7 linked regions of the Oryzias latipes genome follow. The protein of the gene in region 4 purifies or fractionates together with the protein of the main gene of each other region. This does not show direct contact. Links are inferred from orthologs where the notes say so. Each region holds a gene or a part of one and is shown on either strand. Other genes may lie near its edges.

Evidence for each region.
Region 1: the proteins of ilf2 (region 4) and hnrnpu fractionate together in Homo sapiens (co-fractionation; 3 studies listed by BioGRID and IntAct, with this or other methods). This does not show direct contact. The link is inferred for Oryzias latipes from reciprocal best matches to the Homo sapiens genes ILF2 and HNRNPU.
Region 2: the proteins of ilf2 (region 4) and heterogeneous nuclear ribonucleoprotein Q fractionate together in Homo sapiens (co-fractionation; 3 studies listed by BioGRID and IntAct, with this or other methods). This does not show direct contact. The link is inferred for Oryzias latipes from reciprocal best matches to the Homo sapiens genes ILF2 and SYNCRIP.
Region 3: the proteins of ilf2 (region 4) and hnrnpr purify together in Homo sapiens (affinity purification with mass spectrometry; 3 studies listed by BioGRID and IntAct, counting the BioPlex papers as one, with this or other methods). This does not show direct contact. The link is inferred for Oryzias latipes from reciprocal best matches to the Homo sapiens genes ILF2 and HNRNPR.
Region 5: the proteins of ilf2 (region 4) and sf3b1 fractionate together in Homo sapiens (co-fractionation; 3 studies listed by BioGRID and IntAct, with this or other methods). This does not show direct contact. The link is inferred for Oryzias latipes from reciprocal best matches to the Homo sapiens genes ILF2 and SF3B1.
Region 6: the proteins of ilf2 (region 4) and igf2bp3 purify together in Homo sapiens (affinity purification with mass spectrometry; 3 studies listed by BioGRID and IntAct, counting the BioPlex papers as one, with this or other methods). This does not show direct contact. The link is inferred for Oryzias latipes from reciprocal best matches to the Homo sapiens genes ILF2 and IGF2BP3.
Region 7: the proteins of ilf2 (region 4) and histone acetyltransferase p300 purify together in Homo sapiens (affinity purification with mass spectrometry; 4 studies listed by BioGRID and IntAct, with this or other methods). This does not show direct contact. The link is inferred for Oryzias latipes from reciprocal best matches to the Homo sapiens genes ILF2 and EP300.

The regions. Positions count from the first base shown.
Region 1 is NC_019882.2:13,245,079-13,249,371, forward strand, and holds the start of hnrnpu (heterogeneous nuclear ribonucleoprotein U), read right to left. Parts: upstream 2,801-4,293; 5' UTR 2,639-2,800; coding exon 2,206-2,638; intron 1,102-2,205; coding exon 987-1,101; intron 1-986. UniProt on the Homo sapiens protein: DNA- and RNA-binding protein involved in several cellular processes such as nuclear chromatin organization, telomere-length regulation, transcription, mRNA alternative splicing and stability, Xist-mediated transcriptional silencing and mitotic cell progression.
Region 2 is NC_019882.2:1,562,544-1,565,891, reverse strand, and holds part of heterogeneous nuclear ribonucleoprotein Q, read left to right. Parts: coding exon 1-100; intron 101-201; coding exon 202-337; intron 338-427; coding exon 428-633; intron 634-1,219; coding exon 1,220-1,369; intron 1,370-1,455; coding exon 1,456-1,577; intron 1,578-1,661; coding exon 1,662-2,268; 3' UTR 2,269-3,348. UniProt on the Homo sapiens protein: Heterogenous nuclear ribonucleoprotein (hnRNP) implicated in mRNA processing mechanisms. Component of the CRD-mediated complex that promotes MYC mRNA stability.
Region 3 is NC_019869.2:6,652,118-6,656,234, reverse strand, and holds the start of hnrnpr (heterogeneous nuclear ribonucleoprotein R), read right to left. Parts: upstream 2,801-4,117; 5' UTR 2,631-2,800; intron 2,112-2,630; 5' UTR 2,108-2,111; coding exon 1,945-2,107; intron 1,862-1,944; coding exon 1,743-1,861; intron 1,665-1,742; coding exon 1,557-1,664; intron 1,455-1,556; coding exon 1,341-1,454; intron 706-1,340; coding exon 529-705; intron 383-528; coding exon 247-382; intron 161-246; coding exon 1-160. Other genes in the region: ATPase inhibitor A, mitochondrial, read right to left, coding at 3,737-3,878, 3,957-4,069. UniProt on the Homo sapiens protein: Component of ribonucleosomes, which are complexes of at least 20 other different heterogeneous nuclear ribonucleoproteins (hnRNP). hnRNP play an important role in processing of precursor mRNA in the nucleus.
Region 4 is NC_019869.2:21,697,490-21,701,683, reverse strand, and holds the start of ilf2 (interleukin enhancer-binding factor 2), read left to right. Parts: upstream 1-1,394; 5' UTR 1,395-1,523; coding exon 1,524-1,528; intron 1,529-1,882; coding exon 1,883-1,942; intron 1,943-2,800; coding exon 2,801-2,843; intron 2,844-2,921; coding exon 2,922-3,026; intron 3,027-3,117; coding exon 3,118-3,195; intron 3,196-3,440; coding exon 3,441-3,543; intron 3,544-3,771; coding exon 3,772-3,837; intron 3,838-4,194. UniProt on the Homo sapiens protein: Chromatin-interacting protein that forms a stable heterodimer with interleukin enhancer-binding factor 3/ILF3 and plays a role in several biological processes including transcription, innate immunity or cell growth.
Region 5 is NC_019879.2:174,679-178,178, forward strand, and holds part of sf3b1 (splicing factor 3B subunit 1), read right to left. Parts: coding exon 3,450-3,500; intron 3,374-3,449; coding exon 3,272-3,373; intron 2,956-3,271; coding exon 2,776-2,955; intron 2,709-2,775; coding exon 2,622-2,708; intron 2,408-2,621; coding exon 2,137-2,407; intron 1,497-2,136; coding exon 1,351-1,496; intron 1,138-1,350; coding exon 991-1,137; intron 906-990; coding exon 780-905; intron 586-779; coding exon 364-585; intron 296-363; coding exon 113-295; intron 42-112; coding exon 1-41. UniProt on the Homo sapiens protein: Component of the 17S U2 SnRNP complex of the spliceosome, a large ribonucleoprotein complex that removes introns from transcribed pre-mRNAs.
Region 6 is NC_019869.2:10,791,309-10,795,375, reverse strand, and holds the start of igf2bp3 (insulin-like growth factor 2 mRNA-binding protein 3), read right to left. Parts: upstream 2,801-4,067; 5' UTR 2,245-2,800; coding exon 2,070-2,244; intron 1,379-2,069; coding exon 1,318-1,378; intron 1-1,317. UniProt on the Homo sapiens protein: RNA-binding factor that may recruit target transcripts to cytoplasmic protein-RNA complexes (mRNPs). This transcript 'caging' into mRNPs allows mRNA transport and transient storage.
Region 7 is NC_019866.2:19,344,869-19,347,921, forward strand, and holds the end of histone acetyltransferase p300, read right to left. Parts: coding exon 1,746-3,053; 3' UTR 501-1,745; downstream 1-500. UniProt on the Homo sapiens protein: Functions as a histone acetyltransferase and regulates transcription via chromatin remodeling. Acetylates all four core histones in nucleosomes. Histone acetylation gives an epigenetic tag for transcriptional activation.

The sequences.
Region 1 (4,293 bases), on a different chromosome or scaffold from region 4:
TTATTTTAGATTATTTTGAAAGCAGGTTATGTTGTTTAGAAGGGAAAATATGGGCAAAGATTAAACTGATAAATCCCTAAAAACGTCAAGTGGACAATTTGGAGAAGCAGGAAGTGACTTTCCTGGATTAACACAACCAGAAATAAGTGATCACAATTTAAAAATAAATAAAACAGCCAACATTTTTGATGCTGTGCCCATCGATCTTCAGCGTCCAGGTAGTGCAATGAAAACAACACACGTGACCAAAAAAAGTAAGTTCATGTTCACACTCACACTGGAACTCCCTTGCAAGCCATGCATGAGGTCACAGAACGCGGGGTATAAAAACTCTTCCAAACGCACACAACATGACATTTTACACAAACATGATACAGAAACAGCAACAAGAGTGTGATAGAGAGAAAACAACAACAAAAAGGCAGAACACTCCGAAAAAACATGGACGATCACTACCGAAGCTCCTCCGTGGACGCTCCAATAATCTTGATTTTTTTCTTTAAATCTCCTAAATCCTTGTGTGCTACTTTCTTTCAGACCCCTCGGCTACTTTCCTCAACCCACCCCTCCTTTTGAAAAAGTGTACACCTGCTATTTCCCTCTGTGGGTTTTGCTTAGAGTAGCCTCCATTCACCTTAAGGACACAACGGGCTTTTCCAAAAGAAACAAAACAATAAGTGGCATGAGGAACAGATGTGAAAAGTCACAGATGCACTTCTGCTACAGAATGCAGTCCATTAAAGACGCTATGTGAGTGGGCATTGTAGAGTAAATGGTAAGGCTCTTTAGGTAGTCAGGGATGACCCTGAAAACACATGTGTGAAAGTTATTAAATAAGAGAATACTTTTTATTTTAAACAAAAAAACAGAGGGTTTTCCTCTTGCTAGAAATGTGTGCATTGGCACTTAAAGCCAATACAATCCAACAAAGCTATGGATGGCGCTTCAGGGATGCTGAAGGCCATTTTGCTCTGTCCCATCCTTACCAGCTGTATTTGTTCTCTTCAATAAATTCAAAGTAGCCCCTTCCATGTTCCTCCCGGCGTCTCTTAACACCCTTCTTATTCTTCTGATCAGCATTCGTGTCTTTGTCCGCATCCCCTTTGAAAATAGAACAAAGATATAGAATGAGGTGCTCCTTTTTGAGACAGAGAGAGAGGTCGGACTAGCAGTGGGGTTCTGGCCCACAAAGCCCGTTCATTAGTTACATTGTGTCCATCATAATTCATATGAATGTTCAAAGAGGCAGCACTATACTTACACTGAAAATACAGTACAATCAAATGGTTATGACAGCTTTTAAGACCAGGTAGTTAAACAATAAACTGGCCAAAAATTATAAAATAAATGAGTGATGCTTTGTGGGGGCGAAATAAAAGTCTGAAAAATACACCATTGTCAATGGGGTTTGATTAACTTATAAGGGAAAGTTTACTGTTTAAGGGGGATAAATAAATCATGCAAGTAAGGCTATTTAGATATGGTTTTAAACTACCTCCCCATTTGTTACACTGTATGATTTTGGAACCTTTATTAAACAGAAAAACCACGACAAAAAAAACTAGCTAAACAAAAGCAGCAGAACCAGCTGAGCTACCACTATTTAAATTTGGGGTTAGCCATCGCAGATATTCTCCTGTTTATTTTATTTGTGCAGACTGGGAAATGAAATGTTTCAAAAGTAATTCCAGTGAGATTGTACAAATGACAGTAAGATACAAGATTTGTGGCTTGCAAATTCCCCCTTTATGTCTTAACAGGAAGGGAAAATCTGAAATGGCTAACCCTGCTAAATTAGCTTGTTAGCACTACACCAGAAACAAAGGAAATCGCGCTAGCTGACAAGCTAACACACCTTACAAAATCGAAAGAAAAAGCTTAAAGGTCAACCAAAAAGGACGGTTCTCGGCATATAAATTTAATTAAAACTATTACTAAACTTTAAATTGTGTTTTTGAAACGACTCTTTAAAACGTGCCTGAGAGAATATGGTAACGCGTAATTAGAGTTACAAAACGATTAACTAAGAGGAGGTGACCGATGCTAGCTGCTAATGCTAACTAGCTTGAATCACGCCGCCGTGTTCAACATGGACGCTCCTTGGTAACGCGCTAAAATCTTCGCAACCAGCCCCCGAAAAAAAAAAACAGCCAGCCACAGTCCATTCAGCCAGCCACCTTTTCAGCATCACTTCACCAGACTCACCCTCAGCAGCTTGCTCCCCGGGCTCACCATCCTCCGTGTCAATTTTTTCCATGTCGTCCACATCTCCCTTCAGCATCTCGTCGTCTTCGTCGCCTTCTTCCCCCTCACCCATGTCTTCGTCATCCGCTACGCCATTGCCCTCGTCCCCATTATCATTATCCTGTTCTTCCTCATTAGCCTCCATGCTCTCTTCTATCGGGCCGTCGCCTTCCTCTTCCTCTCCCATCACCTCCTGTTCGGCGGCCTGTTCGAGGGTTTCCTCCTCCGATCCCTCCTGGGCCGCAGAAGAATCCCCGACCAGGGCCTCCTCGTCGAGCGCGGCCTGCAGGCGGTCCATCAGCTCGGCCTTCAGCCCCTTGTCCGACAGATTACGCTTCTTCAGCTCGTCTTTCAGCTCGTTCACTTTCAGCTTTTTCACGTTAATTGTGCTCATTTTGAATGCAAGAGTACAAACAGTTTTTAAAAAATCGACGATAAATAAATAACTGAACGCCTATAGACAGGAAACTGCGCCAAAATAGCACCCGCTGTCCGAGAAGTCTTCGCCGGCGGAGAGCTGCGCTGAAACGGCGGTTGAGTGGGGAGGGGAGGAGGACGGCCTCTCTCCTACCGTAATCACTGAATAAATGGCGCAGCGGGTTTTTTCCCTCTTCTGGTAAACCTGCCATCTGCTACTGTCACACAAGAAAACATCTATACTTATCTTACAAACACATTATACATTATTGCAGAGAAATATTGTCCACTTATTTGCTAAAAAAGAGAAAAAAAGTTTCCTTTTTTAAATGACAGCTTAATTTGGGCCTCAGCAACAAAACGGGACAAACTACAGTTAATGTTGAAATTTAATACCAGTTTCAATGGAAATTTCCTTTGCAGCTTTGGTCTTTTATTATGAACTCTCTTTGGAATGTTGGTACTTAGTCACCTCATGACTACACTTCCACCACTGTGCATGGCAGCAGAATTATTGAATTTTATCTCCCAACTTTTCTTATCAAAGACCCACTCCATTGAAAAGCATGCTTTTCTTTTATGTGTTTTTAAAATTTTCTTTAAGCATTTTCCAATGATGATGGGCTGCACTGTGGTGTAGTGTTTAGCGCTCTTGCCTCACAGCAAGAAGGCCCCTGGTTCAAGTCCGGCTGGGGGACCTGAAACAGAACATCAATGGGGGACCTTTCTGTGTGGAGTTTGCATGTTCTCCCCGTGCATGTGTGGGTTTTCTCCGGTGACTCCAGCTTCCACCCACCATCCAAAAACATGCTTCATAGGTCACTCTAAATTGTCCATAGGTGTGAATGTGGGTGTGTGAAATGTGTGACCCAGCGACAGACTGGCGACCTGTCCAGGGAGTCCCCTGCCTTCGCCCATAAGTGGCCGGGATAGGCTACAGCAGCCCCGTGACTCCAAAAGGGATAAACAGAGGAAGATGAATGAATTTTCTAATGATGGAGGACATATATAAAGAAAATTCAGTTCTGAGTATTTCTTTATTCAAAGTTGTGAATCAGGAATAGAAAAGAAATCCAGTCTAAAAAAGCTTGTAGCTCTGATGCTACAGTTGTCTGGCCACAAGCTTCCTGCTCTGCTCCATTCTGACGCATGAACCTGTAGACGGCTAGATCTGTGTACGTCTTTCTTTTCCTCGTCTGAGCTGGCATCTGGCTTAAAACTGTACTGCTGGATAGCTCCAATATTGCCTGCCATTGTTGTTGCAACCTGACGTTAGGTTGGGTTGCGAGGGGCTGTAAGCTAGTGGGAGAGCATGTAACAAATGGATGACTGGAAATGAGGGAAGACTTCATCAGTTCTGTCCACAACTCAGAGGTGAATTTCTGAAAAACTACTGGTGGTCTGCAGAAACTATGTTCTAGAAAAACAACACAGGTTTTTTGATTTAGGCTAAAAACAGCATAATCATAATTAAAAGATCACTGGGAACACTTTTACTATAGATTAAATGATTATCAAAATGACACTTTCTAATTCCAAATTTGTGTTCTTTAAAATGTAAATATTTTTAGCTGTTGTTTTACTGTTCAAATTTGACTGTTTTTGGTACATAAGCACTAATTTCACTTTGCA
Region 2 (3,348 bases), on a different chromosome or scaffold from region 4:
GGACCTCAGGCTCATGATGGACCCCCTAAGCAGCCTTAACAGGGGTTATGCTTTTGTTACATTCTGCGCTAAAGAAGCAGCACAAGAGGCGGTCAAACTGGTGAGTTCATGGAGTTATTTTCAGACAAAAACTTTCATTTTCAAATTAAAATGGGCCGAACGGCCTGTTCCTGACCGTCATCCTGAAATGCCTTTTTACAGTGTAATAACTACGAGATCCGCCCCGGAAAGCACATCGGTGCGTGTATATCTGTCGCCAACAACAGGCTGTTCGTTGGCTCTATTCCCAAAAGTAAAACAAAGGAGCAGATTGTTGAAGAGTTTTCAAAAGTCACAGGTACGACCGGGGTTCCTGTCGGTACTTGAAGAACTTTCCTTAAATATAAATCTTGTGATTTATTTTGTTCTGAATCTTCTTTGTGTCCAGACGGCCTGAACGATGTGATCCTGTACCATCAGCCCGACGACAAAAAGAAGAACAGAGGCTTTTGTTTCCTGGAGTTTGAAGACCATAAAACAGCCGCTCAGGCACGGCGCAGGCTAATGAGTGGGAAGGTCAAGGTCTGGGGCATCCTGGTCACAGTGGAATGGGCTGATCCCATCGAGGATCCCGACCCAGAGGTCATGGCCAAGGTGAGCATCACCCTTTGAAAACCTGATGCTGAACTGAGAAACCCAATGCATGGAAACGCCTGCAGGCCTGTTCCTTTGCCCCCTTGGGGAAGGATGGGTTTGTTTGAATGTTATCTGGCCAAAGCGGTACTCTTCAAAAAGTGTTACTGCATGACAGAGTACTTAAAATGCTTAATGTCCTTATTTTTAACAGTCTGCAGTGCACCTCTGTTTTCACACACACAAGGAAACATATTTTACCTCTCATCGCCACGGCAACAGACTTTTTTCAGAGCAGTGCACATTATCCGTCGGGTAACTGTATTAGGATCTTCTGCTGTGAAGTACAGACAAAGCTGCGCTCGCTAGAGTAAAGCTCCACCCCCACAGCCTCACGCCTTCTCATAGGAGCCGCCCACAATCACTGGAAAGGCAATATTATTGGCTAGAGTTCAGTAAGACTGGAGAGTGATACGTGATATGAACGAAGCCCAGAAATCTGTTTTTAATGGTTCTGGTAATGCGGCACACGTTGGTACAAGGATGTCCTGACAGAAGGAAGCTGCACAGGTCTGATGGGAAAAGCGTTTCTCTATCTGTGTTGCAGGTGAAGGTTTTATTTGTGAGGAATCTCGCCAACAGCGTTACGGAGGAGATTCTTGAGAAGTCTTTCAGTGCGTTTGGAAAGCTGGAGCGAGTGAAGAAGCTGAAGGACTATGCCTTCATTCACTTTGAGGAGCGGGAAGGTGCAGTGAAGGTACACACTTTCATTCAGAACCAGAGCATTCTTTCTAAAAAACAACACAAAAGAATGGACCTAAAACTGACCAAACCTTCATTTAGGCCTTGGATGAAATGAACGGGAAAGAACTGGAGGGAGAGCCAATCGAGATCGTCTTTGCCAAACCGCCGGATCAGAAAAGAAAAGAACGCAAGGCTCAAAGGCAGGCAGCCAAAACACAAATGTATGAGCTGTTAAATCAGCAGGAAAGCCTTCCTCCTCCACAAATACTGACTTTATGCTTCTGATTTTTTTTCCTTTCTGTCAGATATGATGATTACTACTATTACCCTCCTGCTCCCCACGCGCCCCCTGCAAGAGGCCGGGGCCGAGGAGGCAACCGGGGTGGATACGGCTACCCCTCCGACTACTACAGCTATGATGACTACTATGACTACTACGGCTATGACTATCACAACTACCGCGGCGGCTACGAAGACCCCTATTACGGCTACGAAGACTTCCAGTCCCCGAGCCGAGGGCGCGGCAGCAGCAGGGGCGCCCGTGGCGGAACTTCACCGGCTCGAGGACGCGGCAGCGCCGGCGCGCCGAGGGGCAGGCCCAGCTTCCCCCCGCATGGAGGGCCTGGACCGAGCCGCGGAGGGCGGGGAGCGAGAGGAGGCGTGCAGCCGAGAGGGCGAGGAGGGGTACGTGGTGTTCGGGGTGGCCGCGGTGGAAATGTAGGAGGAAAGCGCAAAGCTGATGGGTACAACCAGCCAGATTCCAAGCGTCGCCAGACCAATAATCAGAACTGGGGCTCTCAACCCATTGCTCAGCAACCCCTCCAAGGTGGTGATCATGCTGGTAACTATTTTGGTTACAAATCTGACAACCAGGAGTTTTATCAGGATTCTTTTGGGCAACAGTGGAAGTAAACCAGTAAGGCTTTCATAAAAGGAAAGAATTTATCCTTTCTGCCTTGTTTTTTCTCATTTAGAGACTTGATCTAATTGGCCCTCTATTCCATTTTGTTGCCAGCTTTATTTTTTTGTTTTTTCCACTCAAAAGTTAGTGACACCTGGCAGGATATCTTTATGTATATATTTTATCGATCCGCTTGGACTCGATCTAGTCACTCTCACCTGCTTCTGGCAAACTGCATTTTTTTCCTTTGTTGTTTTTGTTTTTTTAAGGTGGTCGTAAAAGATTCTTCAAATCCAACTTTTCCAACATTTTTAGATGCGAAATGTGCTGAAGCTGTCTATTTGGCTGTAGCTTAATGTATGTTTTATAGAAATTCTGATTTTAATGTTTTAACTAGTTAAAATAAAAAAGCTACCAAGCTTCTGTCTCCTAAAAATGTATTTAATAAGAGTGAAATTACAATTTGTATTGTAAAAGTAATGCGTGTCTTGTTATTGAAAAGAAAAAAAAAAAAGGACAACCGTAGTCCTCATTTTTGGGCTTTACATTTTGGCTTGTATTCTTTGCTGTTTGTCTGCTTTAATAAACATACACGCACACGTGTACAAAAACTTCAAATTGTGTCGCAAATTCATGTTTCGGCAAATTCTCTTTTCAAATTTTCTTCAAATTTAAGGCTCCATGTGGAAGAAGGTGGACTGAAGGTTTGCCATTGTTGGCCATATGCTACAGTGTCACCTTGCATGCCATCCAGTTCCAAGTCACCTTCTGTAGTCGGCATCTCAGAGCTCTGTCTGTGTAGTGGCGTACCTCATGTCCCAAAACATCTCACTAATTGGTGTCCCAAATTCACTGTCAACGCAGCGACGTCAGAACGGCCTGGGGGGGGGGGGGGGGGGGGGCACAAAAGCACAATTGGATTGTAGCCTCAGACTGAAGCTTTTCCTGGTCCCAGAAGGAACTTTGCTGTTCACAGCGTGGAAACTAAACCTGCATGTTTATCTCCAGGTTTGGCGCCGGACTTGTGTTGGGAAGCAGCGCTTTGCATGCCTCCTCCCTGTAGATCTGATTTATGCCCTCATTCCTGCTTC
Region 3 (4,117 bases), about 15 Mb from region 4:
TCAACGGTGACGGGGTTGCCCCAAACCTTCACCTTCCCACTCATTAGACGCCGCCGAGCTTGTGCTGCAGACTTGTGGTCCTCGTACTCCAGAAAGCAGAAGCCACGGTTCTTCTTCTTATCGTCTGGCTGGTGGTACAAAATCACATCCTGAAGACCCTCTGCAAAGAAAAACCGCATCACTCGTCAGCGACAGACAACCGACTGAAAGGGTTTCTCCAAATACAATCATTGACTTGAAACAGACCTGTAACCTTGCCGAAGTCTTCCAGTATACTTTCCCTCGTCTTGTTTTTGGGAATTGATCCAACAAACAGCCGGTTGTTTGCAACAGATATACAAACTCCCAAATACTTGCCAGGGCGGATTTCGTGGTTATCACACTAAAAACAAAAAAACAAAAAACAGCAAATACTTGAAAAGTAATGAAACACAGTAGAAGAAAACACACATTTGCTCAAACTATTCTTCCACAAAATCACTTTCTTTTATATCCAACGGGATCCATGAGATTTTAAAATGGACTTACAAGCTTGACGGCCTTTTGGGCATCGTCCTTGTTGCAGTATGTGATGAAAGCGTATCCTCTGTTTTGACCAGAAAGGGGGTCCATCATTAACCTCAGGTCCCAGATGGGACCTGCAGACTCAAACAGGGGCACAAGCTCGTCTTCATACAAATCTCTGGGGATTTTTCCTACAAACACCTGAAAGAAAGACAAAACACAAAAACTAAATCAATCATGAAAAAAATGACAATTCTATATAAAATTAAAACAATTTCCCTTCTAATTCAACTATCCATATTTATTTTCAACTTTCTTATTTACCTGCTTTATATATATATATATATATATATATATATATATATATATATATATATATATATATATATATATATATATATATATATATATGTGTGTGTATATATATTTCGTTTTAGCATGCGTATGTGAACGATTTTAAACTGATCTTGTGGCGTTTTCCTGTTGAAATAGAGGAAGAAAATTTAGCTCAAATTTGTATTTTTTGGGTATTTCTTTATTCAAATCTATGTAAATCAGGAGCAGACAAATTTAAAAAGATTGTATTTGTCATCTCTGCTCTGCAAAGGGAAAAGGGGGGCGGGGGCGCTTCACGGCAACGGTCCACTCAGGTGAATTTCTACTGAACTCCTGTCGCTCTGCGGAAACTATAATCTAGAAAACTGCACAGGTTTTTGATTGTTTTTCAAATGATATGAAAAGACCAGTGAGAACACTTTGAAAATAGATCAAAAGATGGTCGGAGTGGATCTTTAACGAACAGGATGTGTAATCATGCTTCTTTAAATAATCCCCACCTCTGTTCCAATCCCTGGATGTGTGCCTTTGAACATCTCCTCAGGTGGGGGGCCTCCATACTTTCTTTGTCCCGTGGTGACATCTAGGGTGTATCCTGTTCGCTCCAAGAGAGCCTTGGAAAGTAAACAATCAAAAAATGGGAAAAGCTTTGTAACTGAGAGAACATTTTGGCATTTCAACTTAGCCCAAAAAAACTGCAAATCAAGAGCGTTTACCTTTATTTTTGCCTCATCTGGGCCTTTAGTGGACTCTTGTACCTTACTGCCTTGTTTTTCTCTCTGCCTATACGTCTTCATAACTCCACAAAGAAACGCACTTTTATTCTGCAATTAAACAGACCAAATGATACTTTAGAAAACTGTTTAAAAAAGTACTGATGAGCACATAATTGAGTGTAATACCTGCACATGGGACAGATCGCTCTCCTTAAACTGCTGCAGGACTGTTAGAGCTCCCTCCTCATTGAACTCCCGTAGAGCATCAATGGCCCTTTCATCCAGATCTGCATACGCTACCAGGCCTAAACATCATGACAAAGTGAGCTAAACTGAACACATCAACAACAAACACATTGGAGCTTTGAAGGTAACAACAACCAGCCACCTGTTTGGAAAATGTTGTCTAGATTTTCAGCCACTTTCTGGGGAAGCCCTGCATCAATGAGGGTCTGGTAGTTTTCAGTGTGAGTTGTAGTTGTAGTCACATCCATAGGCTCCTCTTCTTCCTTTACTGGGGCCGAACTACCATTCACCTCAGCGGAAGCCATTCTCCTGTTAGATAGACATGAATAAAAACAGTTTTAGTTTATTACTTCATTTACTGTCAACTTGACATACCAGAAACAAGCTATCAAATTACGGAATATCTGGCTTTTAACTCAAAGATTTTTTAAACGAAAACGTTACGTTAAATGTCAGTATTATTATAAAAAACAATGTTATTTATTACTGATTTTCAAAATAAAACGACCCGCTCATACATTTTAAAAGGCTTATTCCACAGTACCGCCCCCTTCACATGGCGCCTGATCGATAGCTAACATCTTTCATTTATAATACTACGTGGCCCAAAATGTTCTAAAAGCTTAAGAAAAAAACAGTCATCAATGAGATCCAAAAAGTTCCACTCGTTTAAATGAAGTATTAAAGTCCATGTGTGTTGATTTTAGCAGTACACAAGAATACGTCCTAGCTAGCTAACGGGCTAACACGAAGGCCTCGCCGTGCAGCCCAGACACCTTTACACGCGCGCGCCGTAAAAGGCACAAACGGGTAGTTAGCAAGACTTACCAGGATGATTTAGAAAACTAGCTGGAAAATGTTTGAAAAAATATGAAACACTTGTTTTTTCGGGCGTTGGGAAAATGCTAAATGCCAAGAATGTTCAGGTCTACCACACGACAAATTTTTTCCAGACGGCAGCGGTCTCGTCTCGGCTCGCCCGAACAACGCCACTGAGGGAAACATCGCGAGATGTGAGAGTCTGCGGTACAACGTTGGTTTGCAAATCTAGCTCGTGTCATTGGGTCTTCAAAATGGAAACATGACTTTCTGTAATATTTTTTATTTTTCTCAATTTTATGTTTTGTAATATCCGCTTTAAAATTGTGTAAATTTCCAGAGGCTACAAGGAAATCAAACTGTTTTTACAAGTGTAATCAATCTCCTCACCATAACTTAGAAACCAACATATTTACATTTTTTCCAGTACTAGTAATTTATTTTATGATTAAATGATGGGGTGTTTGATTGTAAATTTCGATTAAAGTTGAAATATTGCCCTTTTAAAAATGTGATTTAATCCATGTAATAATTATTCCTCGTTTCATTTGGTTTATTCATTTGTCCTGTTTGGTTTAGTGAGGTAGGAAAGTATTTACAAGGTCTGAGTGAATTTCTTAAATGGGTAAATCCCTCAGACAGAGCTAAGGCCTGAAATGACAGACCTTTGTGAAAGTTTTGGCTTCAGTTTTGCAGCAAATGCCCTTCTTGGTCTGATGGAGCGTATCCATCCCCATAAGCTTGTGGTACCTTTACAGAACAATCCAAAGACTATCCAGATCTGACTTTGCTTAGCAGCTGAGATCACATAAGACCAGGTATCTCCAGCTGTGCCATCAGAAGTGTTCACAACCTCTCCATATCATCACCATAACAGGCTTAAAATAAAAACAAAAAATGAGTCCAGGTGTAACCGGGAACCCTAAATTTTGAGATGGCATAAACAGGGGAAATGAAAATCAACATAAACCAACAGAAAATCAATCATTTTATTTTGGAACGTATATAAAAGATAATCGTTTGCTTCATTAACTGCCAAAATGAGCAGATAGTCAATTATCTTTACATTGTTTTCAACGTTGCCACCCTTTCTATCAGAGTTGTGAGCGCAAACTTCAATCGTCATGTTTCAGTTTTCTAATCTTGCCAACGTGGCGGTCGATCTCCTTTTGCAGACGCTCTATTTCCTTCTTATGGTGCTCAATCTCTTCCGAATGATGCCTCCTCAGCACCTCCAGCAGCTCCATCTCCTTCTTTCTGCAGACAAAAACCATACTTGTCAAAAAGGGAAACGCTGGCATGAAGTTTTCCTCGAAAACCTGTTTCATTTCTTACCTGAAGTACCGCTCCTCCTCCACCACCGCTCGCTTTCCAAAAGCACCTCCTGCCTGCCTCACAGAGCCTCCTCCACCTCCACCTTTCCCTGCTCCTCCGCCCAACTCACCAAGCTGGAACAAAGGGCACATCATAGGATCCCAGCATGCAGTGGCTTTTCC
Region 4 (4,194 bases):
TTTGTTAAACGTACAAAAAGAAACCACATTTACGTAGAAGAAATAATTATTTCCCTGTTTTCTTTCCAGAACTAGTAACATTACTTAAACCTCACAAGAAATGCATTCAATAGTCTTTTCATGTTTCTTATTGCTAACAAAACTCCAGAGGAGGACACAAGTGCAGACCTGTTCATTTTATTTCATTTTAAGTAGGGGTGTAACAATTAAACGACTCGATGAATTAATTTTTATTCGTACGATCCAACCAGATTGATCTATCTGAGGCAAGTTGTTTATCGAATCAAATCAATCTATACTATAAAGTCATTTAAAAATGAAAGAAATTGATTATTAATATTTGAAAATCACATTTTGATTGGTTAGTTTGTGTTACTATATTGTAAAAATGACCAAGTGCAATCACAGCGGACAACACACATGATGTCAGCAAAAAATGATCCAGCATTGTTTCTACACCCCTCTTCAAGAATATTGGTGATACAAATATTGTGTGGACCTGTCTGTGTGCGAAAGTCTTGTGGGATAAATCTTCCATCATGAATGTAGGAATATACTTCCAATCTGTAAATAGATGTGCAGAGAATTTGTTGATGTGTGAACTAAGTCATGCAATTTACTTATGACACTCGTATGTTTTGACCTTGTATTATCTAACCCCTCATCCCCTGTCTCCAACATCCCACTCTATTTCTTTCTTTCTTTCTTGTTTTCTTCCGTCTGATTCAACATAGATCGCATACAAAAATAATTATCATAAATAATGCTTATAGCCTCAAATACAAAAAAGGGGTTTTATACAAATCTACACTCTGTTTGTTGTTTGTCTGAAGATCCATAAACCCCTATTGTAACAGTAAAATCTGTCCAACAAGAGATCTTCAGTTCTGATCTGCTAGCTCAGCTGTTGGTCAAGTTAAAATAAAAAAAGATCAGTCCGTCAATATGATCCAATGTGTGGAAACAAAACACAGACATGTGACCAAACAGTGTGCTAGAATGTTCTAATAATGTTCTGTTTGTATTATTTTGATGTGATTTTGATGAAAACTTCCCCTGCACTGTTCAGTATTTATGTCTTAAGCCACACTGGTTGAAGGTTTGCCCAAAGATGTCCTGGATCAACTTTAGGTTAGTCAGTTAATCAGATCAAATTGGATCATTCAAAATGAACCAATATCGAAAGTGAATCGGATCAGCAACCACAAAATATGTGAATCGTTGTTATAGTGAAATGTCACATCGCTTATTTTAGGGCAAATTAAAAAATATTGTACTGTTGTAAATGTTGCATTTTTATATTATATTCTGAAAATGTTCAATAAAAAAGCTATATAAATAAAAGAGGTTGCACTTTTAACTCCTGGTCTGTAGGGGCAGCAGTGTGCTGTGAGCCTTTCCTCACCGGAAGTTTCACTAGCGCTGCCCCAGTCTATGTCCGGTTCTGCGCCTTCATTGCAGCAGCTGCAAATCTTAATTCTTCTCGTTTGTTTTATATTTTCGGAATCAAAACGTCTTACACGATGAGGTAAGCATATATTTATTCATTTTATTGGCGTCGGTGGTTGAACACGCTGCTCTTGTTGTTGTATTTTGATTTGTGTCCAGCCTGTAGCCGCGTTAGCATAATAACCTGTAAGTTAAGCAGCGTTTCCCTCATGTGTTTCAACTCTTTTTTTTTTTAGTTTAGGAGCCAATTCTGTGAATAAATTCACGCGTTTTCGTACACAGTTTTGTTTTTAGGCTATTTATATACTTATTTGTGTGAATTAATGTCAATAATCATTCTTCGTGCAGACCACTAGCTCCCATCAGATTATGTGTGTATGTCACTATGTGGCCTAATCATTTTTGTTTTATCATCTGTTCCCTTTCTGTGCAGAGGAGACCGCGGAAGAGGCCGGGGAGGGCGCTTCGGAGCCCGCGGAGGCCTGGTCCAGGGGTTAGTGTCTGTTTCCCAAACATTTTCAGAAAACAAAGTCTGATCGGTTCGTGTTGGCAAGCTTTTCTGCCCCCTACATTTTCCTTTCAACAACCCTCTGAGCCAGCTTGCTGATTACTTATATGTCTCTAGTCTGTCAGAAACTGGACACCTAATTCTTGAGGATCAGAATCAAGATGAACGGGGCTAGCTGGAGTAGAGGACCATGATGCTAGGATTGTTGTAACCTAAGAACACTCAGGATAAAAAAAAATCTAATATTCTAAATAGATTGATGACTAAAGATGCCCCCCCCCCCCCGACCTGTAACTTTGAAAAACCAACAGCAGTGTTGCCCATGTTACGAAAGTATTGCCTAAAGTATTAAATCACTTATTCAAATAATTAAATTGTGGCATTCCAGTCATTTCCATGGCCACAGACGCATAAAATGAGTTCTTCTGCAAACATCTTAAGGGATGTTGCCATCCCAGGAGATCAGTGAATTCCAGTTGTCAGAAGCTGTTCTCACCCCTTCCAGTTCAAGTGAAAGGAAGTCTGAATGCTGTAGGACACCAAGAGATTTAAAAATTTAGAAATGTTGCTTCCTGGTAGCACCATGACTGTGCACCACTGCTAGAAGCAGGCCCATAAAGACATGGATGAAGATGATGTGGAGTACAAATGGATTATAACTTATGATCATGCGTGTAAAGTCAAATGAGTGGCTACTTTTGCCATATAGCATGTGTCTGATGTAACAGTGAGAAGGTTTGAGCTTAAAGTGAGTAGTTAAAATCTCCACTTTATGCACTTTAAATCTTGGGATATAAATGTTTACATATGAACGTATGCTTAATTTAATCATTTTTTATGCAGGTACCGCCCGTTTGTCCCACACATCCCGTTTGACTTCTACGTGGTGAGAACAAGTGAACATAGCTGGAATATCGATGCAGAATAAGTGTGAGTCTTGACTTTCACTCCTTTCTTCCACCAGTGCGAGATGGCCTTCCCCAGAGTGAAGCCTGCTTCTGATGAGACGACCTTCAGCGAGTGTCTCCTGAAGAGAAACCAGGACCTGAGCCCCACGCCAGCAGAGCAGGTCTGACTCGGACTCGCCCAGGAACTTTCATCATCATCATCATATGTGCTTCTAACACATTTTGTTCCCTTTTTTTTTTTTTTTATAATAGTCCTCTATCTTGTCGTTGGTCACAAAGATCAACAACGTCATTGACAACCTTATTGTTGCTCCTGGAAACTTTGAAGTGGTGAGTTGCTCCACTAAAGAACCTTTGGTCCCATTTGAAGAACCTTTGGTCCACAGACTAAAGCAGCTTCAATGAACATGTAGATACATTTTTAACAATGAGGTGAAATATGAGGGATACTGCCGGTACATTTTTATTTTAGGCAAAACCAGACTGATTGAAGTATCTTTAATTCAATCACAGCCTTCTGTCACAATCCATGACCCACAACAATGAATAATTGTTTTTTTTGTGCCTCTTGACAGCAAATTGAAGAAGTCCGTCAGGTGGGTTCCTATAAGAAGGGAACCATGACTACTGGGCACAATGTTGCAGACCTTGTAGTCATCCTGAAGATCCTCCCAACATGTAGGTCATGAGTTTCTCATCCGGATGTTGTCAGATTCTTTTGTCTGATCGACTGTATGAGAATGGTTCATATATGTTGTTGATGCATCAAACATCCCAGTGCATCAGCACCGAATCTGAATTTCTCCTTAAATATTTTTTTTCAAACTTGAATGATGTTTTTTAGTCACATTTAATGGTTGTGAAAAATTGTGTCTTTATGTCCAAATATAATTTTGTTCTTTTTAGTGGAGGCTGTTGCTGCTCTTGGCAACAAGGTTGTGGAAACTCTCCGCACCCAGGACCCTACTGAAGGTAAATCACAGAGATCTCCTTCAATGAGTTAAAGCATCAACGTGATTTACAAGTTTACCCTAAAAATTGCTTCTGAAAATTTATTAAAGCTATTGTAAGATTTGCAGGAACTTTTTTTAAAGCATAAAAAATAATTTAAGTCCTACATCAATCATCTTTTGATCTATTGTAAAATCGTTCCCAGTGGTCTTTTAATTATGGTTATAGAATTTTTAGCCAAAATTCTAAAAACCTGCTGTTTTCTAGGACATTTTCTGCAGAGCGGCAATAGTTCATCTGAAACTCGCCTCTAACTTGTGGGTGGGGCGCGGAAGTAAACCTCCGCTTATTTCCTATCGTCACTTTTGTCCACACGCT
Region 5 (3,500 bases), on a different chromosome or scaffold from region 4:
TACTCGTACAGCACCACCCCCAGATGGCCCATCAGCTTCTCCTGCAGAGGGACAGCAGAGCGGGTGAGGCCTCAGGCCTGAGCTGCAGGTTTACGGGGGCGGGGTCACCTACCTCCTGACAGGTCTTCATGACCACCGCTGTGCGTGAGATCAGGTCCGCCGCCTGCTGACGCACTTTGGCGGACTTGTTGTTGAGGCGCCACAGCACTGTACCGCAGATCTGAGGCAGGTACGGTTTCACGCGTTTGCCCAGCGCGTTCACCACCGTGCCAAAACCGTTCAGCATCACAGAGTCCTGCACACGGACAGAAGGTTAACCAAAGCCCCCCATAAAGCAGGAATCCATGCCTGCCCGCCCCCTACCTCTGTGGTCTGCTCCTGGAAGGCGTACAGGATGCCATCGATCAGCTGCTCCTCCAGCTTGTGGTCGATGTCAGCTGCCCCCAGGTTCCCCATGATCTTCTCGATGGTCTCCATCACCATCTTCCTGTACTGCTCCGCCTCGTCCTTCAGATCATCCACGATGCGCGAGATGATCTCTGCCGCCCCCACTTTGTTGGCCAGCTCCACGGTGGTGTCCACCAGCTGGAACCAGAGACAACAGAACAGTTAGTGCCCCCTACTGGCTGCAGCTGGAACTGTTACTAGTTTTGAACAAAAATACAGGAATCAGTTTCTTCAGAAACATGTTGCCGTGTCATGAGGACCCTTCATGCTGAGCGTCTCCATGCATCATGACCTTTGTCTGCATGGCACCCAGCTGCTCGCCGTCTGCTCACCTGTCTGTAGTTGCGTCTGTCCAGAGCCATCCTGTGCTGCCAGAAGTGCTTGAAGAACGGCGGCAAAATCTCGGTCTTGATGTAATTTGCTTCCACGCCGTCCGTGCCACAGCACTGCTTCACCACCTAAGAGGCGGGAAACAAGAGCCTGCTCAGGTTCTGTTCGCCATCAGAGCGTGATGAAAGCACCCAGCGCTGCACCCCCACCTACCTTCAGTACGATCTTCTTCATTTCCTCATCGGGGGACTGGAACTCCCTGATGAGGATCAGCATCACCTCTCTGGTGTAGTAGTTGGCATACTCCGCATCCATCAGCGGGATCAGATACCCGATGGCTTTGAGGAACGCGGCCAGACCCTGTGGAGCGAGGAGAGTTAGAACGCGTCTGGAGGCGGTGCTTCTGTCCTCTGCTTCCAGCAGACACTGGCCCTGCAGTGGACCTCAGCTGGCAGCAGAAGCTCCTTCAGAGTCACTATAGCAAGCAAACATTCACACTGCGGCCACGCTCAGGCCCAGTGCTGGGTGTGATCTTGCCGACAGGATGTTCCCTCTCCACGCAGAAGCGCTCACCTTTCCTCTGTGCTGCCTGATGCCCTTCCACAGCGGCTTCAGCACCGAGTCGAAGGACTCAATCCCATAGGGGGTGGCGGCTTCAGCGAGGGCAGCAATAGCCAGGGCACTGATGGTCCTCACCTTCTGCTGCTCGTCCACCAGACCTGCAGCAGAAACGGGTCACAGGCGGGTGAGTGGAGGCTCCACGCTGCCTTCCTATCAGACACGCTCTGCATCTGCCAGAACAGGGGAGGCCCCTCTGAAGGTCTGCGCGGTATCAGAACACTCCTCTTCTGAAGGGGGAATCCCACTTCTCTTCCACTTCTTCAGACCAAACTGTTCTGTTTGCTGAAGTGGGACTGACTGTAACTTTTGCCCAGCCTTCTAAAAGTGGAACCGTAGAGATGTTCACCAAAGGGAACCAGCAGTCTGTGTTCTGAACACAGCAGCAGCTGCAGCGTCACCAAAATGTAGCCGTGGAACAGCAGGGAGGGTGGACTTTCATCATTTACCAGCACAGCTGAGGAAAGTTTCACCATTTCACAGCAAAACCTGGAAGCATGTGAAGTGGACTCCACCCAGATGCTGAGACCGACGCTAGAAAGGTTTTTAGCAGAAATGCTTCCACCCTGAAAACGTGCAGCTTTGGTTAAAGCTCCTGTTGAAACAGATGAACAATTTTTCCACCAAAAGCTTCTGTTCCAGAGAGAAAAAGAGGCACCGTGTCCCTGCAAAGGGGGCGGGGCTTGAGTTGGATTTAAGGCAGCTACATTGGGGTGTTGACAGCTGCCGTGCAGGACTGACCGTGCTCGATGATCTCCACCAGGCTGCGCAGGTGAGGCAGGATGGCGCAGCCCATGAGAATGGCGATCTGCTGCACGATCTTGATGCCGGTGTGCCGGGCCTGCCAGGACTTCTTGCTTTTGCAGACAGCTTTGAGGAAGGGCAGGAGGGAGGGGATCCCCAGTGCTGAGGCCACCACGGCGAAGGCTCGGGCCGTGGTGTTTCTCACGTACTCGTCCATGTTGTCGATGTCAGGTCTCATGGTGGAGATCATTGTGGCCAAACCTGCAGCCTAAAGGCATCAGAGAAGTTGAAGCTCATGCATGTAAACACAGAGGTGGGTGTGACCAGCGGGTGCAGGGTGAGAACAGGCGGGGCATCCACGCCCTGCCTGCACGCTCTCATGCTGGTGTCACTCTGGCGAACGCCTAGCCCTGTCCTGACCACGGACCGGTCAAACAGGCGAGAAAAGTTCGCCATCAGAGCACTGACAGGAAGGGCCTTACCTTTGCCAGGTTGGAGATGATCTCTCGCCCTTCCACTCTGGCGTAGTAATCTTCATCGATGAGCAGGGGCTCGATCACCACCAGGATCTGAGTGGACAGAAGACTTTCAGTTCACTGCTGAAGACGCGGCAGACAAACCTTCAACCGGACCCACCTTATGAACGTACGGCCGCACCAGGTCGTCCAGCTTGTACAGGATGCGATCGATGACTTTGACCAGCAGGTGGCGCTCCTGGTCCTCCAGTGTGGGGGACATGAGCAGCGGCAGAATCTGGTTAAAGAGTGGCCCTGCTCCAAATTCCCGAGCTTTGTCTGTGATCTGACGCAGAGCCGCCTGAAAGAGCCAACGAGAAGCTGGAGGTTCAACCTCTATCAAGACAGCAGATGAGGATCAGAGGTTCCTCTGCGGTGCCAGAGAAACCCAGCAGAGGAAATAGTTAGAGGACAAACGTCCATCATTCTACCAAAACTGCATGTGATCATTTTACACAAAACCAGCTCGTCAGAGGAAAGCAGCCCAGGATCGGACCTGCCAGCCTTTTTACCCTGAAAACTCCTCAGCTGAACTGAAGTGACAGTCAGGATGGAGGCTGCAGGTCTGCAGCAGAAGGTTCCTCTCGTCACCGCCCCCCCCAAACACAAACACCAACCTTTCTCATGGGCGGAGTTCCGTTTTTGATCTTCAGCAGCAGCTTCATGATCTTCCTTTCCTTCTGCTCTTCGGGGCTCAGCGTCGACTCGTCCACCTCCACCTAACATCGACACAGACCGTTACCTCCACAGAAAAGACCCCCACCCACCGCAGCCCCCCCGTCCTGCCAGACTCACCAGGAGTTTGTCAAAGTATTGGATGTCATCGGGTTTGAGGAAGGGCAGGTT
Region 6 (4,067 bases), about 11 Mb from region 4:
GCTCATTCCTCCAAGTTTTTTTTATTTTCTTTTTTTTTTTTTTCTAAATGTCCCCACCCTATTTTGATTCCTGACTGCTGCAGCACTTCCTCTTCCTGTGGAGTTCAAAGGTTAAGCAATGCTGATTGGCCAACCCTCCTGTTGAAATATACAGGCTGTAATGCAAAAAGAGTGCCCCCCAAGCTTACAAGGGTGTGGGTTCCCTCTTTTTTCATTGAGTATGATTATGTTCCATGTTCTACAGAGAGAGGGGGAGCTCAATTTACTCCAGCCCCAGTGTGGCTGAAACCCCCCCCCCACTATAAAACAACCTGAATATACAAAACATTAAATTCAAGAATCAAATCCTTCCCCTCTCTATTTTCTTATTAAAAGCTGTGTCAAACAATGTGTGTGGTTTTGTCTTTGTGATCTTTTTAAAAGCTATTCCATAAAAACCTCTTGGTATACAATTTAACCAATAGTTTGTCTTTATTTAACCTTTAAAGGGAAATTCTATAAAAACAGACTCATTGATATTTTTTTAGTTTAAAAAAAGGGATATATTTTAGGTGTAAACACGCAAACATGCTTCGTGATTCAACTTAGTACAAATAAAATATGTTAAATTTGGATCTAATAGTTTTAACCCCAATTCGACATCAATGCAAGCAGAATTACGCCAACACCAGGAATACGCACCACACGTCCAGATTTGGTGGAGCACTAAAGATTTTTTGTTTGTTTGTTTTTTGAAAGCCTGAAAACGCTCCACCTCTCACACAGACATTTCGCGAGTTGGGCCCTAAGCCTCCCATTCCACCCGCGATTTGAGGAGTCCATCTCATGCAAACAGCAGCACAACATGCTGAAGAGGGCGAAAGCGCAGGGCAGACAGGGAGAATGACGGGCAGATCCTTCTCAAATGGACGACTCCACAAGGCCTGCACGCCACAAATCCAGCCTGCGTTCACGTTTGCTCCTTTCGCCGTGCGCTCTGAGAGGGTTACAAGCCGCCATGAGCTTGGAGCTCATATATTGGGCACTACATGCGAAAACAAGGGTGGATGTGTAAACAGGAGAGCCAAAAGAGAGCATGTGAAAGCCAAAAGCACAACGGTTTAGGAGCAAAGCGGAGAGAAGGGAGTACAGTAATCCTCCACACGCCCCTTGTGTTTGACCCCTGAGCTTTCAGGGAGAGGAAATACTATTTTACGCAAAATAAAAAATTGAACAATGCACTGAATTTACTATGCTGGGAACCAAATAAAAACTGAAACTGCCATTTTGGATTTTTTTTATTTAAAAAAAAAAAGGCAAAATATGATTTAAACCTACCTTTGACGCTTAGGGACAGAATGCTCCACTTCCAGAAGTTTCCCGTGGAGTTCAACTTTACCTAAAACACAAAAAAGCAACTTCAGAAACATCCTGACCTTCCGGTAGAAAATTCACTCTTTATGGGAAGTTTCTCTCTCAAAAAAAAACATGAGCGTATTTTCTCCATTAAGCTAAACGCATAAAGACGACAGCAATTCCCATCTACAATCTATTTGAGGTCACCTGAACCTGTGCGTTAAAGGCATATTTTACGAGAAAACAAGTGAAAGAAGAACCAAACGTGTTTGTTGGCTTCATTCAGTTGGCCTACATTTGACCAACACAATTAAACCACCTGGTGTGTCAGCAACATGGCTTCACCACGCAGACGGAGGGCCCGTGTTTTGAAACCCGGGGAAACTGAAACTTCGTGGGTGGAAAGGTAGAAACACACCGCTGTCAGTGAACCTCCAACAAGGTCCACTTCTCAAGGCGTCTGCGCCCCAGCTGCCCTGAACGCCACACGAAGCCATTGTATTCATGTCGTTTTGTTTACTTCTGCTTTTTAAAATCAAGGAAAGCCAAAAGACTTTCCACCTAAACCCATATGTTTAAACCCCTGGAGTCTAAAGGCCACGTAAAGGTTGTGTGATAGAAGAAAAAAGGCACCCCCGCCCTTCGTGCATGCATGCATGCATTTCTGGGGGCAATGAACGAAGTAAGACGATCCTAAATGGAGGCTCTTTGTGAATTTGTTGAAAATGTCTCACCTGAAAGAACATCGATGGCCTTCATCGCTGCCTTCTCGTCCGGGCAATCCACAAACGCATAGCCACTTTTGACCAGAAACGGACCACTGTGCGGAATCTTCCACTGCTCAAAGATACTTTCGAAGTCCTCCTCGCTCGCCTCTGCGCTCACGTTGCCAATGTAAAGCTTATTCATGTTCCACGCCGAGAGGGGACAATCTTTACGCGGAGGGAGAGTCAGTTACCTACTCCCGTGGATGTGCAAGTGCGGTGTGCGTGGAGTAGCCCGCGTCGCCGTTACTACTACGGACTGAGCGGCTGTGGCGTGCTTCCCGGTCGTTCAAGCCTCAGAATTTAAACTGGCAGCCTAGGTGTGCGTTCGCTCTCTGTCGCGCAATAAATAAACGCTCAATTATTAATCTCCAAACGTTGGCGGGCCGGGAGAAAAGGAGGAGAAACTACTTTGTGTCTTCTTCCAAACCCCTTGGCAAAGAGACAGAGAATGTCACACACGGTGAGGCTGGCGCCCGCCTCTAAGTCTACAGCCCAGAATAAGAAGAAAGGAGGAGGAAAAAAAAAAACTCTGCTATTCCGGCTTTTTTGAATGAGCCACGTGTTCAAACTACAAATCAGCCCACACGTGAGGATTCCCAATTGCTCAATTAAGTATTTGGGGGAAATTGCACGGGAATCTGGGGTGGGGACAGCAATGGGGAGTGAAGAAAAAAGGAGGGGAAGAGTGGATTGGTGTTGGGAAAATCTTGTGCGTAAAGGGATTCCATGAGAAAGTAGTGCATCTTAACTGGATTCACAATCGTTGCCTTTCTCTGCAAAACTTTGATTGTCATTGGTCAACAGGGGAACATTAAATCGACTGCGCGTTCACGCGCACTCCATAGCAGGGAGACAGAAAATTGCTGGTGCTCGTCCGCGCGGGTGCGCCGTGCCCTAAACTGATGACACAGTTGAGGGAGAAGGGGGTGTGGCCATTCATAAATAATGTTACACTGTATTGTTAAATTGCATATCGGATGTATTTAATTGCAGGTATGTGTGGAGCGTTGGCAGAACCCCGCGCGCACTCTTCGGACCCTCGCACTCAAGTGGAAATGACAACCTGATGACGGCGTCCATCTTCTCTAGCAGGCGTAGAGCCATGCTTCTCTGAGTCTGATCCACGGCTCAAAGTCCAACAGGGGGCCATTTTTTTCTCGTGTTTACATAAATTGAACATTTAAGATCGTATACTTTAATGTGAAATCTGATTTTTCTGCTTTTTACTTTCATATGTTTAGGCATCTGTGCACAACCCCCAGCCATGTGGCGCAAACGCACATGGCGAATCTTGTCTGGCATGGATTTACTAAAGAGGGAGGGGTCTCCTCTACTACTGGTAGTATGTCCCGAGCGACCTATGTAACGCATAGCCCAGCTCAATCACGTGTGCAATACATGACTGCAACATTACACAACTGTCAATAGGATCTTAAGTAAATTATAAGCAGGGGTTAAACTTTTACGTCCACGTCAGACAGAATCCAAACCTGTTGGTAGTGAAAAAAGTCATCTTTTAATCTAGTTCCAACCAAATTTTCTACTTGTTATAAACAAAACAAAAAAAGTTATTGGAAACCTCTTAACATAAAGTAGCTCAGTTGAAGTTTATTTCATTGTGTGCTTGAGCATAAGTATAGGCTACTATACTTGCTACCATCATGTAGTGTAGCGTAGAGTATACTAACTGCATACTTATTCAGACTAAATTGGAACATTTTAAGTGTACGATCTATTCAAGTATGCTACAACAGCTAAAGAAATTAGTTTTTGCAATAGTGGCCAACTAAAAGGTACAAATAAACTAATTAAGTCGATTCCTGAGGTACATTTAAAATTGTTTTTGATTGCTGGAGGTATGAGGAGTTTTGTTTTACCATAAACTTCTGTAAAACCTAAAGAACTTGCTCCAAACACACAACAATTAAGAAGTTTGCATACTTTGTGTCAGCTACTTTACTTTTG
Region 7 (3,053 bases), on a different chromosome or scaffold from region 4:
GTCAGAATAAACGAAATCTTTTTTGACCCTTCTCGAACTCCGTTGAACACATATCAGGTCGCAATAACATCTACGGCCGCTAGAGGGAGTATTACTCCAAGCGATTTAAAGCTGAAGATTTACGGAAAGCAGAGCGGTCTGATAGCGGGCTTTGGGGTGTTTGAACACCTTAAATCCATTATTCCAATTTTGACATTTTAATATTTGTGTCCAGCTTCCTTCTTTCCTTTGTAATTATTCAGAATAAAAGAAAAATGTTTTGGAGAAAAAAAGCAACTTTCAGCATTTTCAGTGCTGAAAGTCAGGTTTGTTTGTTTTTTTGCATTTTGCTGAACAGAAACCAAACGCATACTTTGGTTTTCTAAGAGTTTGGAAACTCATTGCATTACTGCATGGCAGGCTGTTACCTTTGTTTTGTTTGTAAACAAAAAACTTCATTCTAAATCTAAGGTAGAAGCAGGAAGTGCATCTTTTGAAGAAATATCCTTAGAAGACACAACCAAATTGGTAATTTTTGTTTTATTATAAAAACAGTATTCGAGTCCAGTTTGTTTCCTTTGTACAGTAAAAAATATTAAATTAAACTCCCAAAGTTCTGAGCAGAAAGATAAAGAGGATGGAGTTTGTAAAGAAGGAGCTCCACGTCCCCCCCAGAGGAGGATATAAAGTTGAGGGAAGCAGCAAAGGGGACGAGGGAGAAAGAGACCGAGTCGGGTGTATTTGTGTGTGTGGGGGGGGGTCTCCTTCTTTCTCCTCGTTTCTGTGCAACACAGTTCATTTGGATCATCATCATCATCATCCTCTGTTTACAGAAAACAGCAGAATCCTAAAAACACTAGAACAAGCCCGCCCCACCCCAGGTATTTAAAATGTTACAGGCACAAAGGTATGCACCCCCCCTCCCCAAAGCTCTACAGCTCCATTTGAAGTGTCTTTAACAGGAAGGAGTGCACACACATTCGAGGGAGGGGGCTTGCATGTTGGAGAGGGCTTCCAAAGATGTGTCCGCCGCCGCCCTTCCGGCGCAGAGCGCACTGCAATCAAACACTGACATCACTCCCAACTCAAGACATCTAAAGTGAAATAACATATACTAACCCCCCCCCCATCTTAACAGTCAATACCAAAAATATATTTCTGTAGGAACTGTAGCAGTCTCCTAGACGCCCACCCCCAGAAGGAAAAGAATAAATAAAACCCAAACATTAGAAAAAGGAAAGAAAAAAAAAAGCATCATGTTTGGATTTGAGGTGAAGCGTAAACAAAAACAAAAAAAGGCCCCAAAGAATAAAATAAAAAAAGGAGCTCAACTGATATAAAGATATTTGCATTAAATCATAATTTTGGACTTTAAAAACCTATAAAAACAGAACAGTTTTTCAAAAGGCAAGTACTTTTTTCACATACCCCCCCTCAAAAAAATAGAATCAACTTTCCTCTGCAGTACACGGGGTGACTTGTGGGATGATATGTGAAAGACCCCCCCCCCCCCATCCCTAATTGGCAAAGAAAACATTTAACAGCAATAAGTTACAATTCATTTTCATTCATTTAACGACTGCTTGATTTCATGTTCATCTCCCATAGGAAGTTCAGTTCAATGCATCTTTATTGAAAACATTTTAAATAACATTTAATAATAGTTTAAAAAAAGCTTAGTAATAACAATAACACTGTCCTGGGTGAGTGCAGTTTGTGCGGATTTCCACTGCCGCTCCGCTCCGCTCCACACGCTGACGACCACCCTACATGTGGTCTAAGGAGCTGTGGCCGATGTTGGGGCCCATTGGGTCCTGACCGCTGCCGCCTGGCCCGTGCAGACCAGCCATGCTGCTCAGCTGGGACAGCATCTCATCCGAGCCGAACGGCTCCATGGCGTTCTGCTGGGCTGCTGGCGGTTGTGGTTGTTGAGGTGCCATCATTCCTGGATGGTGCTGGTTCAGGTGGTTGGGATGAGGAGAGCCCGTCTGCATCTGGGGGGAGATGTGAAGCGGGGAGGGGTGTGGCTGCATGCGTGGGGACGGGCTGGAGTGAGGCGGCTGGGACTGAGGTCTGGGTGAGGGCTGTGGGGACCGGACCTGGTTGGCCAGAGATGTGGACATGCCCTGTCCCTGCAGGTGCGGGTGGGGGGACTGGTTCACCTGTTGAGGCTGCTGGGGGCTCATGGGGTTGGTGTGCTGGGCCGGTGACCCTCCCGGGCCGAGATGCTGCTGCTGCTGCTGCTGCTGATGGAACATCCTTTGGTGCAGAGTCTGTTGAAGCCGGGCTTGAGCGGTTGAAGGTGGGGGTCCAATTTGGGTGGGTTGAGGGACTTGGGGTGCTTGCTGCGGACCACTGATACTCCCTCCACCTGGCCCTACATCACCCCCCATGGCGTTCTGTTGCTGCTGCATCTGGAGGTGGTGCTGGTGCTGCAGTCTCTGCTGCAGTGCAACCGTGGCCTGCTGCTGAGCGACTGATCCGGGGTAACTTGGTGCCTGCTGACCCGGCTGTCCACCGGGCTGCTGAAGGGGTGGCCCCCCAGGAGGCCCCTGCCCCACTGCTGGAGGCTGCATGCCCTGCTGCCCTATGAAGCCCTGCCCCTGGGGGGGCTGTGGCTGTTGGAACTGACTGTGGTTTACTCCCATGTGCTGCTGCTGTTGTTGGTGCTGCTGCTGCTGTTGTTGTTGCTGCTGCTGCTGCAGCTGTTGCTGCTGTTGTTGCTGCTGCAGCTGTTGTTGCTGCAGCTGTTGTTGTTGTTGTTGCTGCTGCTGTAGCTGCTTTCTCATCAGCAACTCTCTAAACTGGGCTCCGTTCAGGTTTCCCATCTGGGGCCCCTGACCCGGCATTCCTCGACCCACGCCTTGCTGCTGCTGCTGCTGTTGTTGCTGCTGCTGGAGAGCTGCAACCTGCTGCTGCTGTAACCCACTGAGCATTGGCCTCTGCTGCTGCTGCAACTGCTGCTGCTGCAACTGCTGAAGCTGCTGCTGCTGCTGCTGCTGGACCTGCTGCAACTGAGCCATGGGGCTCATGTTGACATTTGTTCCTCCTTGACCCCCCATGTGCATTCCCTG